Linked DNA regions of Schizosaccharomyces pombe. Changing the gene in region 1 together with any one later gene gives a genetic interaction. Each region holds a gene or a part of one and is shown on either strand. Other genes may lie near its edges.

What was found.
Region 2: mutations in gnr1 (region 1) and trp663 together harm fitness more than expected from each alone (negative genetic interaction), as found in Schizosaccharomyces pombe (one large-scale study listed by BioGRID).
Region 3: mutations in gnr1 (region 1) and SPOM_SPAC18G6.13 together harm fitness more than expected from each alone (negative genetic interaction), as found in Schizosaccharomyces pombe (one large-scale study listed by BioGRID).
Region 4: mutations in gnr1 (region 1) and SPOM_SPAC17G6.03 together harm fitness more than expected from each alone (negative genetic interaction), as found in Schizosaccharomyces pombe (one large-scale study listed by BioGRID).

The regions. Positions count from the first base shown.
Region 1 is NC_003421.2:765,366-769,316, reverse strand, and holds gnr1 (heterotrimeric G protein beta subunit Gnr1 ), read left to right. Parts: upstream 1-1,773; 5' UTR 1,774-1,947; coding exon 1,948-3,147; 3' UTR 3,148-3,381; downstream 3,382-3,951. Other genes in the region: wybutosine biosynthesis protein Tyw1, read left to right, coding at 1-1,331. UniProt on the Schizosaccharomyces pombe protein: Negatively regulates the pheromone-response pathway. Acts as a structural mimic of the G protein beta subunit thereby interacting with gpa1 which then inhibits gpa1 signaling.
Region 2 is NC_003421.2:1,657,073-1,661,591, forward strand, and holds trp663 (TRP-like ion channel protein), read right to left. Parts: upstream 2,712-4,519; coding exon 1,563-2,711; exon of another isoform or gene 1,474-1,562; coding exon 559-1,473; downstream 1-558. Other genes in the region: NatA N-acetyltransferase subunit Naa50, read right to left, coding at 10-444; SPOM_SPCC663.15C (uncharacterized protein), read right to left, coding at 3,210-4,519.
Region 3 is NC_003424.3:2,239,364-2,241,889, forward strand, and holds SPOM_SPAC18G6.13 (uncharacterized protein), read left to right. Parts: upstream 1-1,631; 5' UTR 1,632-1,649; coding exon 1,650-1,994; downstream 1,995-2,526. Other genes in the region: SPOM_SPAC18G6.12C (uncharacterized protein), read right to left, coding at 138-1,067.
Region 4 is NC_003424.3:3,591,471-3,595,628, forward strand, and holds SPOM_SPAC17G6.03 (phosphoprotein phosphatase), read left to right. Parts: upstream 1-1,567; 5' UTR 1,568-1,584; coding exon 1,585-3,492; 3' UTR 3,493-3,597; downstream 3,598-4,158. Other genes in the region: protein farnesyltransferase beta subunit Cpp1, read right to left, coding at 3,727-4,158.

The DNA.
Region 1 (3,951 bases):
TAGCAGAATGCTTGAAAAACGGTACGCTTTTGAAAATCGGAAACACGGATTCACTTAGTTCGGATGTTATGGATGTTGAGGATATGGGTTCCATGATGGCCAAGGCAAAGGCAGAAGCAGCCTTGCCAGTGGGTACTAAAGAGATGGTTTCGACAGAGTCTCCTACGTATAAAGCCCTTACAAAGCAGGGATACAGCGTAGTTGGCTCACATAGTGGTGTAAAGATTTGCAGATGGACAAAGTCTGCTATGCGTGGCCGAGGCTTTTGCTATAAGTATAGTTTCTATGGAATTCGAAGTCATCTATGTATGGAAGCTACCCCAAGTTTAGCCTGTGCTAATAAATGTACTTTTTGTTGGAGACATGGTACGAATCCCGTAGGAACCTCTTGGCGCTGGAAGGTTGATCCTCCAGAAATGATACTTCAGGGTATATTGAAGGCTCATTATGCCAAGTTAAAATTAATGAAAGGTGTACCTGGTGTTCTACCCGACAGATATGAAGAAGCGTCTCGTGTTCGTCACTGTGCTTTGTCCTTGGTTGGAGAGCCTATATTTTATCCATACATAAACGAATTTGTGTCCATGCTTCATGAAAGAGAGATTTCATCGTTCTTAGTAACAAATGCCCAGCATCCTGAAGCATTAAGAAATATGGGTATGGTCACTCAACTCTACGTTTCTGTTGATGCCAGTACTAAGCAGAGTCTCAAATCAGTAGACCGACCATTATTCAAGGATTTTTGGGAGCGAATGCTAACGTGTTTGGAGATTTTACGTGAAAAGCGGCAGCGTACTGTTTACCGAATGACCTTGGTGAAGGGATTCAACATGGAGCAAATTAAAGAGTATACTGAACTGATTCGTCTTGGTGTGCCTTGTTTCATCGAAGTTAAGGGGGTTACTTATAGTGGTAATTCGGATCAATCACCGTTGACTATGAAGAATGTGCCTTATTATGAAGAGGTAATTGACTTTGTTAAAAAATTGATTGAGTATATTGATATTCATTTACAAGACCTTGGCGTCCGCTATGAAATTGCTGCAGAACATGCACACAGCTGCAGTATTTTAGTTGCTCAAACTGCGTTCAAAAAAGATGGCCATTGGCATACTCACATTGATTATCCAAAGTTTTTCGAATTAATACGGACAAAGAAAGACTTTGGTCCATTCGATTATATGGCATCCACGCCCGATTTTGCCATGTTTGGGAACGGTGGATTCAGTCCAGAGGATACAAGATTTCACAGGAAGAAAAAGACACAAACATCTAAACCAATTTCTGCAACCATTTCAGAAACTGCTACAATTTCGGAAGCCGCTGCGTAAGCCAACTTTTGTAGTAAATAGCTGAAGAAAAAAAAGAGTGACACACTCTAAAGTTTATGAACTGTTGAGCAGTTTTTGTACGCGTCTGCACTCATTGATAAAAAAAAATTAAGATTTTGGCATAGGTTATTTTCGTTAATTCATTAATATATTTTTTGATTTATCAATACAAAAAAACGATGAAGGCTTATTTGCTTAATTTCGTTCATATATTTATAGTTTCAATGGGCGTAAAGTAATAAAAATGTTGACGATATTGTACTCAATTGTTTTTTTAGTTAGACAAGTATATCGCAACCTGTCTCTATTTTTATTTATATAGTAACCTGAGTCGTAACTTTTAATTTTCTTTTTTTTTTATGATTGAGAAACAAAGAATACATTCTTTCTGTTTTAGGACTCGTGGAAATGTCTTGGAGTAATTCGAGCATACTGAGATTACAACTACTACATATGATTACAATTCGTTTTTTAAAGAAGGACTATTCGTTTTCAACCCTTATGACCAGATAGAAAGAAATCCATATATATATTATATATTTAAAAAATTAAAGTTGACATTGTGAAGAGCCATAATCCATACATGGTTAATAAAGTAGGTTAACTTGAGGAAGGAATGGATAATTGTGTAAACTCCTTTGAGGATCAGAAGGATGACTTGGTGCATAAGAAGAAAAGTCAAAATTTCGGCTATGTATGCGGAAGTATTAATTTAGGAACAAATGTGATTGCTCAAAGTCCAACAAAGCCATTGAATTTTTTTCATTCGTCAAGATGGTCGCCGGATGGATCGACTATACTTTCGTTAACAGAGGATCAATGTCTTAACTGTTGGAATGTGCCGTTTTCCGATTTATCCAAAAAGGCTGATGGACCATTGAACTTTTCAAAACATCTGTCGTATAAATATCAATCACCGGAAACAGTTTACAGTTACAGTTGGTATTCGAGAATGAAACTTGACGATCCTTCCAGTAACCTTTTTGCAGTGTCTAGTAGGGATCAACCTATCAAGTTGATCAATTTTACTACAGGAAAGAACAAGGCTTCATATCACATGATAGATCACCAAGAGAGATATCAAGGATCGCATTGTTTACAGTTTACCAACGATGGGGAGTATTTGATTGCGGGTGATAAAAACTGTCTCCATCATTTTAATATAAGAACGGGATGTAAAGAACCTGTCATGACAACGGTAACCCATGGATATAAAGTCCCTCTTTGGGAATTTAGTCTTAAGGGTATACAGTCATGCTTTTCCTTGAATCCGATGGATTCGAAAACATTGGCAGTGGGAACGTATTCAAATCGAGTTGGGATTTATAATGATTGCGGACGTCGCCCTTGTCAGCTAGAGTTTTCGATTGAAAGAGGAAACGGAGTGACACATCTACAATGGTGTGAGGATGGAGAAAAGTTATATGTTGGAAGCAGATGCAGTGATAAGATTGAAGTTTGGGATATACGGTATGTGCGCGACATGGTATATGCTCTTGAAGGGCATCGTGGCGATACGAACCAAAGGATTCTTTTCGACACTGATAAAAAGGATGAAATTTTGGCAGGTGGGACGGATGGAAGTATTCGTAGATGGAGAAACAAGGATCTTGTGGAAGAAACGCATGTGACGGGAAATTACGATTTGACGGTAAACACAGTACAAGCGAACCCTATAAACATGCAGATAAAGTGTGTATGTTATGGAAATAGAATTTACAAGTATGAGAAGGATGAAAGTGAAGAAGAGGATGAAAGTAAAGAGAAGGATCTTTGGACAGGAACGGTTTCGGCTTTACAGGTTTGGATGGATTGAAAAAGCAAAATTTGGAATGAATGAATACTTGAAAAAATAAAAAATGGTGAGCTTGAAGGAAGAACTTTATGAGGATGATTTGATTATTAATAGAAAAACATTAGAAAACCGGTTCTAAATTGGTGTATTGGTGAATGGGTGTTTTTTTCGCAATCAGGAGGAGTCCTCAGACATGTTGAGGGGTTTCATTATTTAGATTATGATAAATTAAAAAATAAAAGAGATGAATTTTATGCAAATAGTTGATTATAAGAGCGCAACAATCTTTGTATTAATAAAACTACACATTCGCTTATTAAATAACCTTAAACTCGGTTATACATGGATTTCCAAGTGTCGCAAGTAGAGGAGAAATGGAGAAAATGGAAAGCAAAGAATGGATGAAAATTGTAAATCAGCAGTTTCGAACTTTTCAAAAATTTGTTAAAAATATTAATTTTTCAATTTAATTGAATTTTGTTTTACAAGGTGGATACTATGGAGGAAAAAACAAGATATGTATGGAAAAGGTAGCGATCGCAAAGGAAAAAAAATATTAGAAAAGGAAATGGAATGAAATTAATTGAACGAAATGAAAAGGACATGAAAATAAACAGAAGTATAGAACAAGAAAAAAAAAATTTTTTTTTAAAATAACATAAGGATGGAAGTGATCCGGAGTGAATAAATAGAGGGAAATGAAAAAAATAAATAAATAAAAAATAAATAATAAAATAAAAAATATTTATATACACATACATATAGATTGGAAAAAGATGAAAGAAAAAAAATGAACCAACCAATCTATCAATAAGTAAATCAATT
Region 2 (4,519 bases), 890 kb from region 1:
GTGTGCAATCTATAGCTTTTTCGAAAGAAGGACGCTATCTTCTGTTTTGGAGCTCTCATCAATAATGAATCCCCGATGAATAAACCATTCGGATACATCGAGTTTAGGGCTTAATTTAATGTAAATTTCTTTGGCTTTTCCCTCAGCTGCAGTCTCGCAAGCATATTCCAACAGCTTGGTACCAATAGAACGGTTTCGATAGGCTGGCAAAACTGCCAAAGATAAAATTTGGATTTTGTGCGATTTATTATGTGTTTCTTTTTTGCATCTAACAGCTCCTACGCAGACCTGGTTAAAGTACGCATATTGTGCTAAAGGCCCGACTGAGATTGTGTCTTTGTAAAAGGAGGTTGGAAATATAATGATTTCAGGATCAAAACACTTTTCGTTAATAACTTCAAGGATTTTCAGATTATTAGGGTTAATCGCATCAAGTTCAATCATCTTTTTTATGCAAATGCAAATATCTTTTTCTATATGTACTTGGTGTTGTCAACTTTCAGTCTTTAAGGCATTCTAATGCAATAGTTTGAGTTGGAAACATCCACGATAAAATCTTTAAACAGTACGCTGCATTTCATTAATCCCGTTGTCACATGAATGTGAAGGTATTGTAGATGCTGGTCGCATAGGAGAAGCGTTAACAAGGCTGAAGACATCGTCATTTCCATCTTCCTTTGTGTCTACGTTTCCTTCTTTCTTTGTGGTAGAGGGCTCTTCAAAATTTGATTCTTGTGGGATAATCTCTTCGGTGGATAGCTTTTCACTTGCAGAAACCGCAGGATTCTCAAAGTCAATATGAAGTTGTCTTTGATATTCATCTATTAATCTTCTAAGCCAAGGGACTGTGTAGCTAATGGCTGGCCATGCTGTACCTAGCATAGTAATGAAGTTCCAAAGGCTCCACAGGGCCATAAATGAAAATACCAGCCCTTGTATAATGATAAGAATGATTGCAATGATCACTTTCGGAATGATTGCTAAATCAAATGCTATCGGTATGAGAAGAGCAAAGGAAACCACTCGGGTGAGAGCAACCAAAAAGACGCAAAAGGAATTTTTGAAACCAACAAAAGGCCGAAACACTGCTAGCAATATAAAAGAGATGATTTCAATAACAAATAGAAGTATAGTTTGAATCTTCGCAAACTGTTGTACTAACGCTAAAACCAATGCAAAACTAAAATAATGTGCAAAGCAGGCGTAAACATAGAGCCATCGCCGTTCTTTTAAATCCAAATATAACCATCCCCACCATGTGTATATTTTTGGATCGCTTATCAATGTTTCTGGATTGTCCTCGTTACTCAAGCCTGACGTTGTTATCACTCTTATGACTTTGATAGTTAACCAAAGGAAAAGCCCAAAAAGCAGTGCCAGAAGCAAAGCCGCCAATATTACAGGGCCATATGCTTCCCTAAGTGTAAACTGGTAAATTATCATAGTTACCAATACAGGCCAACAAACCAACACCTATATCAACCAGATTAGTATAAGTATAAAGCAAAAAAGTCGTTAAGAGCTATGTATGAACAACTCATTCCTTTGTTCAATTAACTTACCCATCTCATACAAGCATTAAAAAGTACTCTAAACCAATACCTTGTGATATAATCGCATGAAGATTTTGCGATTATACGTGTCTGACGAAGAAACTTAATAATAAGTACGAATATTATAACGATTCCTCCTGCTATGGCCAAAGAAATCAAAAACCATATTAAAGTGAGTGTAAATAAATTCGTTGTTAGCGTTCCAACTTCGGTGGCTAGGCCTTGAAACCCATGGTAAAATCCAGGAATCGGGCTTTGAGGGTTTGTTGCAACAGCATCTCTTCGATGGACTCCACCTATCTTTGGAGAACTTAGGTTTCCATTGGAATGCTTTCTAAAAGACTCAAGGCTGTTTTCTATCTCTTTATTGGTAATAAATCCTAGAATCCATGCAAAATTACTAGCCCATGCGACTAGCACTTTTGGCTGTGTAATTCCAATTGCTCCCGTGAAAGCTATACATTGAAGTAGCTCTCCCATGTGCTGCAAAGAAGGAACGGAATTGATGAAAACCTGACGTGTCAGATAGGTGCTATGCTCCATTCCAATTACATAAAAGCCTAAGACGCCTGCTATACTCAATGCCAAAGCAGTTCCACTTAGAGCTTTTACGACTTTATTTTTAAACGTATGACCATTATTAAGTGTCGCGATCATGCACGCAAGTGGTGTAGAATTATCGATGGATGACGCTGCGATGTCTTCTGAGCGATACATGCGAAAACGCACTAAGCCTTCAAAATCAGGAATTCCCCAGGCAATTTTTGGGATCATCTGAACATCTTGAGGGCTCACTGGAAGTATTCCCTGTGTGGTTATAGCTGTATCTCTTGCAACTGGGCACACAGTATTAAGATTTATTTCACAAGGGTCGAAAGTAAATCTTGCCCTCTGCTCTCCATAAGCTTCAACTATAATATCAAACGTAACATTTGCGTCCACAGATGAATATCCAAGAATATTAAAGACTACTGACAAGTTTCGTGTATAATAACTTGCATCAAACCGATTAAACACTATCGGGGCATTTGACATGCATTCTGCGTACTCGGCTGTTCCAAGTTTGTGATTTGGTCTCTTACTATATCTTACTCGACCTTCCACTGACGATAAGATATTACTTAAAACTGCAAAGTAAGCTAAGAGTATTAGCTTCATTTTCATTTTCCATTAACATCCCCCTTCCAGTTATGTAGAGGGTTTAACTTTGGAACGAATGCAAAAAAAATTAAAATGAACTTTCCTCAGAATTACCAAACTATCACGAATAACAAAAACATGCTACTGAACTCAAATGCCGTAATTTGACTGTAATGTTTACGAAATAGCAGTCGTATTTTTTAACAACCATAGCATTGAGTTAAATACAAGGATTAAATAAATAGTAATGAAACGATTGAAGCTTTAAGATTTTTACGAAAAAGAATACAGAACGTGGCTTCGTTTATTTAGTTACCACCATCTTAGCATTGTTCTTACGCTCACAATTTTACACTATGAAAAAAGCAATATAATGGTAAAGAATGTATCATTAGTAAAGAATAAAAAAAAGAAATGCATTTTCATTTCATTTGTAGTTGTGAGAAGAAATGATGGAATGTGCGAGCCTCACTTGATTTTATGTCATTATGTTTTGGACCTCAATTAGTAATAAAATTATTCTGTTGAAGTCATTTCTGAAGGCGTTTCTTGATTTTTCGCTTGTAATTCGTTGAGTTGCTCCATTAAAAGATTTCGAAAAGGAGTCAGCAGCTTCTCTTTAGTTCTATTTAATTTCATTCCACAATTTGGAAGTTGTGGCTGCGGTACTCCATGAGCTGTAGTGGGTGTAATAATTGCGGACCCAAAGAAGTTATAAAGATGTAAAAGCCATTCACTAGTACTATCTTTATTCTCAATAGCCTTCTTGCTTTCTTCATCAAGTTCCTTCACATAATCACCAATTTCTTCCAAAACTTGATGTTTTGTCTCTTCATCCAAGGTATTTAAAGCTTTATGGGCAACATCTACCGCATCAGGAGTCTTCACCTCAACACTAAATTGTTTTAAACAATGGCGATACCAGTCGCACCACTCTCCACAAAGATCGGGCGCATTCACAACAAGTCGGTGAATGAAACGGACAAAGCAGCTTTGATAACGTTCAACAAGATTGATGAACTTTACTAAGGGAGCACCGGCCTTTGAAAGCTGAATAACATCCCATAAGAAATACTGAAAGTCATAAATAGCTTGTGAAAAATCGGCAGCTTGATGTGCTTCGTAAATGATATTATAAAACGCATTCATAAATTCTCTTACAACATCATTCAGTTGATCGTTGTCACATAGATCGTGGATTAAACATTCGCGATCACGATGTGTTAAAGCGGCATCAAAATATCTCATGGCAATATGGACACCTTTCTCGGAATAAGGATCGAAATGAAAGTCTTCAATCTCGGAATGCTCGGTTTCAGATGCAGTGTCGGGTACTTCATCTTCATTGCCTTGGACAGACGAGGCCTTATCGGAGTCTTCCTTATCAACTCCTTCAGTCTCGGTAGTTTCAGTTTGCTGTGCTTCGTACGCCTCTAAAATTGCGATAGTAATGTTCAGTTCCTTATTGATGCTTTGAGAACGAACATCATCTTGTTCAGTACGCGAAAGTTGAGTGAACCATTGCAAGGCTTTACGCATCGTCTCCCATTTTGCATCGTCTTCAAATTCTGCATCTGTCTCAACCATAGTGCTCTCACTGTGCTCGAGATCGGCATTAAAAATACCGGCCAACATTGTTTGTAGCAGATTGCGACTTTCGCCAAACCAGGAAAGCGGTTTCATCAAAAAAAGTCGAGTAAGACCAGACATCAAGAGACCAGCATTTCCAACCCGAAGTACTTGGCGCGTTAAAAACCAAGGGATACGATTGTAAAGACGCTCAACTACACCTTCAGGGCCCTTTCTATTACTAACAAGGTGAGGAG
Region 3 (2,526 bases), on another chromosome or scaffold:
CTAATGTATGCTAAGTTAAAAACTATGTAGATACCAAATTAAGTGTAATATTAAACAAAGAAAAGTAGGGATCTTCCAAATAAAACCGGATCGAAAATCAATTAAACAGAATAAATAAAGCGTGATAATTGTTTTCTTCAAATACCAGAGTTCCTTCGATTACTAGTAGAACGTCTGCGGCGCTCTCTCAAAGATGCATTTAAATCTTTGTATGCCTGTTTGTACATTAAATACATTTTTTTCGATAATTCGCCAATATCCTTGTTACTTCTTCCTGAAATATAATAGTAGTTTTCATCCTGGTATGTAAAAGCGACACGACGATATGGACCAGAAACGTATTTATCCTTAGGGATTATAGTGGCAGCATAGGGATAAGTAGAGTTATCCGGTGTTGGGTTTAAAAAGGAATTTGAGCGCTCCATCCATGCAGGAATAGTGGTAGTCTTCATGTTGATGTTAGGCTCTGCCAAATAAATTGCAGCCGCACCCTGGCTAATGGCACCTAACACTTTGATCTTTCTGTTATCCTTAACCTCTTCATCCGGTTGAATTGTACGACATGAATGGATGTAAGGAACCAGGCTGGCATGTAAAAGTGGGTCTTCTAGCATCTCACGCACGAATGGATTTCTCCCTCCAGTTATGAAAACAGCACTAAAATTATCAAACGTAAAACCATTTGATCGATAGCATTTTGGATTGTTGAACTCATTCAGAGTACAGAGAACGCTATATATGTCTAAGATTTCCTTAGAAGCACCGAGTACATGACTCTTCCAGCCGGTCATATAAGAATCATTAGGTTTCGGGGGTCTTGGAGGAAATATGGATTCGGCGATTACGAATTCAACTACAAACCCGCGATCTGTAAAATACCTCCAAGGTAGACATACTTGCTCCAACATGAACCCCTTATCAGCTAAAACGATAGCTAAATGAGGCGACAATTTGGCATCCTTACCAAATACCGGAGCATTCACTGAAATGAGGTCGTGCTTGGGATGAATTGCAGCATTATAGTTGTCAAATGAGTTCATTTTTGAAACCTGAAAGGAAAATGCCATCGTGCTTAAAAACCAGTTAATCCTCCTTTTTTAAAAAACAATTTAAAATTAATAGCACTGTAGATTGTATATTAGTTATATGTCTTACACAAGAAACCTGGAAAAGTGGGTAAAGGGATGATTGACCCCCTTAATATATTACCTTATGTTTAGGTCAACCAAAATGACACGATTCTACAGGGTTTCGATTTTTTACAAAAATTTAGCGGTATTCAGAACGCCTTTCGCTTCTTCCAAAGCTTCGTTCAATGGGTAGTGGTTTGACTTGCTGATCATATATAATTTATGTATTTGATTATTTACAAATCACCTAATTGGTAGAAATACTTTTTTAACAATTTGTACAAAAGCATAGATCTTTTTGTTGCTTATAACTGTAGAATACAATGTAATAGGTTTTCATCAATTATGCTGGCCTGATCAAATATATGAAATTAATCGAATCTGTAAAAGGACTTAGTTTTACAAACTAACTTAGCATTCAGGACATTTCATCAATTCACCAACATTAATTTACATGGGCAAGGAAACTGTTGCTTTTTCTGTACTTTTAATTCCTACTTTAACCCTCTATGAACTAGTATGCGGCTCAAAGTCTCCTGCACCGAATTTCCAATTCAACAATGGGTTGAGACTTCTAGTCTTGAATTAGTTGACTCTGTTAATTGTGTGGCAGATTTATGCCATGCCATATGGATGTTTAATGGAGGATGTGCGGATTGGAGGCTTCAAATACTTAAAGAAGGATTTACAGTTCCGATGACGGGAATTATCTCACAATATCTTAAAACTGACGACCACATTAAAATTGTGAAGGAAATTTATCCTCCGAATTTACCTGTTCTTCCGTTCAGAGTGTATACAACGCAGAATACCTCCGTTGAATCTGAGCTAGTTGAATGGGAAGATGTAGAAATGGAGGCTTAGTGCTTTGCTTGCTATTCTCTGATTTATTTGATTAAAAAATTATATTATAAAGCTATCTGCAATGGTAAATCACATGAACAACGAATTGAAGTTTGCAATTTAACGATCGCTTATCTGTCCCTTGAACCTACGACAATTTCTAAGAAGTTTAGGATGACATTGCACTGTTTTCATCATTATAAACTTAATGGACCAGCAGTATTATGCTTAACGTTTGCACTGCCGCTGCTTTGACACTAAACTTTTATGCTAAGATATATAACACCTATGAAAAGTTCAGTCTATGAAAGAATATAGAATATATATTATAAATTCTGTATACAACAACAAAGCTTGAAAATTTTACTTTTTACTTACACAAGCGACAATAAACTTCCACGAGAGGAGGTTAAACTTGGAAATTAGATGTATTCTTTTCTACGAAATTTATCCATACGCGCTAAGCAATCACTACTCCAAAGCAAGTATACAATGAAGTACTTATCGATGATACAATTGTAGTCAGACAACTTAAATTATTGAAAGCTATGAA
Region 4 (4,158 bases), on another chromosome or scaffold:
TTTGATGGGATAAATTAATTAATTAAGTAGAATGAATGGAAATAGAATGTTTAGCGGAAGTTTCTTTAATCGCCATAAAATTTACACAAATCATTCATTTGTTCCATACCAAATGTCACTATAAGTTGACCGATACAAACCATGACTAGATGAATTGGCGGAAAAGCAGGTTTCAAATAGAAGAAAGAAAAAATGTGAAATTAAATTTTCCTCTTTTGTATAACCCTCTTTATTAATGACCTGATATTTCGTTTGAAGTGGAATATGAGTTTCTTCTCCTTCTTAAATTTTCGTCATGTATTGTACGAAACATATCGTTTGGACATTTTAAATCAGTTAACCATACTGAATGAAAGAATAACCGAAGTTGTATTTAATCATTACAACATATCCATTCTTTTATTACCTTTTATTTTTATTTTGAGCTCTATTAATCCTTGCTATATTATGTACATAATCGTTAGTATGTTACAGAAAGGATGGGTGTCCGAGTGGTTATGGAGCTGGCTTTAGGTGCGTTCAACGCATTGCACGCCAGTGCGAAAGCTCGCGGGTTCGAGTCCCGTCCCATTCAATATTTATTTTTTATATTATTATTTTAAATCGGTATATGAGTTTATTTCTTCAAGCTTGATGGAGGAAAAAAAACCCTGTTAATGGCTGCTGTTTATCTTTAAAAAGTTCTTTAAACAAAGTAAGCTTAGAGTGTTATTGATACTGGCAAACGCAGTCTTCATGAAAGAAATAGAATGCTCCTTCTTTTAACGGAAACGCAAATTGATACATACTCCTTTGCAATATTTACCCTGGTTTTTACTCTTTTTTTTATGTTTTAAATTCTACAAAAAATCTGGCTTTTCCTCGTATTGCAATTCATACATATTTATGGTATTACGAATACATCGTTGCGGGATCCCAATTCTTTTAAGAGACAATGCTAATGCCAGATTCAATGGTTTTATTTATTTTCATGAATGGAAAAAATGATTTTTTCCTTTTCAAATTTTTTTGCATTACTATAAAACCAATTTTTCTTGCTTAATCATTTTCTTGAGCAACAATGACAATATTTTGTTTTTGCACTCTTCTCTGGTGAATAAAGACAATATACGTTTTTCGGAAGGAATACTTCTGGTTAAAAGCGTTTTTCTCTGTGATAAGGTTATAAATATTACTTACAATATTGCATAATATTATCTATTATCGTTCGTCAAACCAATTCCCCACACATTGTCAATTTACAATTCTTCTTTTCTTTTACTAAATACTTATGCCCAACCGGAAGTTAAAGGCATAACATAAGTGTAGTGTTTCACTAAAGCTTTTTAATCATTTGACGATCTCAAAATCTTGCATTTGCGTGCTCGTTTTGCAGACGTCGCAATTTTCATTTAGAAATTTTTGATTAAAAAAAATAGGCGACTACGAATTCTTTTTTAAAACTCCCATGACTTTTGATGGAAGCAATGATTGTCATATTACGAAGGTTTGGCTGGCTACTATTTGCTGCTTGTGACTTGGTACTTGATCTTCTTATCTTGGCGATTCTGCACTTACCCTATATACTGGGAACCAATATTTATTATGAAACCTGCCCATACATTTTCATTAATTTTCTCTCTTTTATTTGTTATCAATCCTTGCTATTCAGCAACTTTGCCCTTGGCAATTCGTCGGGAATTGACATGGGGTCAAGTCAATATTTTACACACTACTGACATCCATGGCTGGTTAGCAGGACATGCGCGAGATAAACGTTATTCAGGAGATTTAGGAGATTTCGCTTCTTTTGTTCAACATATGAAGCACTTGGCAAAACAAAAAGACGTTGATTTACTGCTAGTAGATACCGGCGATCTTCATGATGGTACGGGCCTGTCAGATCTGACAGATCCCCCTGGTAGTTGGACAGATTCATTACTTGCAAATATGGATTATGATATTCTTGTTGCTGGAAATCATGAGCTTTATCTCTCAACTGTTGCAAATGATACTTATCATAATTTCATTCCTCTGTGGGAAGGCCGATATTTAGCTGCAAACATTGACATATATGATGAACATGTTTCTTCTTTTGTACCCTTTGGAGATCGATATGCCATCTTTTCTACACCCCACAATGTTAAAATCCTTGCGTTTGGATTTGTAAACTCATTTTCTGGTGCTACTGATACGGTTCGTGTCCTCCCAGTTTCGCAATTCTCGCTACAGCCATGGTGGAACGATATGGTATCAAATAAAGACATCGATCTGATTCTGATTCCCGCTCATGTACCCGTTCACAATGCCTCAGAGCTTGATATCGTTCTTTCAGAGCTTCGGATTCACTTCCCTACCACTCCAATACAAGTACTTGGTGGTCATTCCCATATTAGAGATTATGCCATTTACGATGAAAAAGCAGTGGGAATTGAGTCAGGAAGATATTGCGAAACAGTTGGTTGGGTCTCAATTAACGGCATTCCATCCTTCAAATCGTTGGTCAAGTTATCTGGGATTTCTTCTTTAATGGGGGTGGAATCTTATCTAGCTGAGCGCTTGAGATTTATAGGCGAAAGTATTAGACGGTCATCTCAGCAGATATTTTCCTCTTTGCAAAGTGCTAAATCTGCCAGTGTCAGCTTCTCTCGTTCCTATATTGATTGGAATCCCGAGGGCTTTATGTTTCATTCGAAAACAAAAAAGTCTTCTTTCAATACCTCACTTGGAGAATTTATTTCTAATGGCATTTACGAAGCTCGGAAGGCACTTGGCTTACTTACTCCTATAGGTTGTTCCCCAAAAAAGTTTGCATTTTCAGAAGTTCCATTTAACGATTCAAACTCAATTTATCATCTATTTCAATCCGAACTTTTTCCAAAAATAGTCGTCAATGAGTCTCGACATCACATTCCTCACTATATTATTGTAAATTCGGGTGGCATTCGAGGTGGTCTAAATTCAGGTGCCTTTGGCTTAGACGAGGTCTTTCAAGTCTGTCCTTTTAAAAGTAATATATTCTATGTTTTGAAAGATGTCCCATGGTCGATTACTAAGTACCTGCCACAAGCTCTACAACACAGTGGATATCTGATTGCTGAAGATACTCTTCAAATTAACACTCCACAAGTTTCTGATGCAAAATTTGAGGACTTTTATGAACACTCCATTCGCAAGACATATGGATACACTACACACGATGATTTAGGAGATGACGGAGATGACACTGCTCATCTTACAACTCCTCATTATGAACCGCTGCGGTTTATTTGCTCGCAAGTTGGATTTGATGATTCTTTTTCTGGAGACGATAAGCAAGTTGTTGACGTTGTTGCTCCATCATTTGTTATTCCACGCTTAGACGACATTTTAAATAAAATTGCAGATAAGCCTTTATATTCACCTGACGATTGGGAGCTTTACTTTACGAGACCTGACGGAAAGCATTCTATGACTGATTTGTTACCATTATATGCAGATCTCTATTGGGACCACGATTGCCTATATAAGTAAAAGGCTATGGTTTATTTCCTTTAGTAAGGATTATTCTAATGACATTAATGATTTTAAAGATAACAAATAAGTCAAGAATTATTATTTATTCAACATGTGTAAAAATGACGAAGTAAATACCTGATAGAGAAGTAAAATAGGCATGATATTAAACTCGGGACATAAACCGTTAAAATAATAAAAAAAATCCTCTCATGAAAAATTAAAGTCCATAGACAACTCATAAATAAACCATTAGAATTTTGATGATTCTTGTGACAGAAAATATGATTTAATTCTTTCTTCAAAACCAAAAGGAACACAGTAAATTGGATGAGCCGGTAATAAAGAGCTTAAAGAGGAGTGTAAGATGGAAGGTTTATAGGACCAACCATCAGAAGTGTGATATCTGTAGTCATAAGCAATTGATGATAACCCTAATAGACAATAACAAGTATGATATTGATCAGGCCGTTTTGGTGGTTTGTCACGTAAACCGCCGCTTGTACTCTGGCAACATTGAAGAATATATCCTAATAATTTTTCTGGATTATAAAAAAGGTTAGGCAGGCTTTTATGAGAAGCCGAACCATAGCCTGAAGCCACAATCACATGGCTAGCACCGACCCACCAACTATAACAACCATCCACTAGCTTGTTAGAGCGACCGGAAAATCCGTAAAGAGC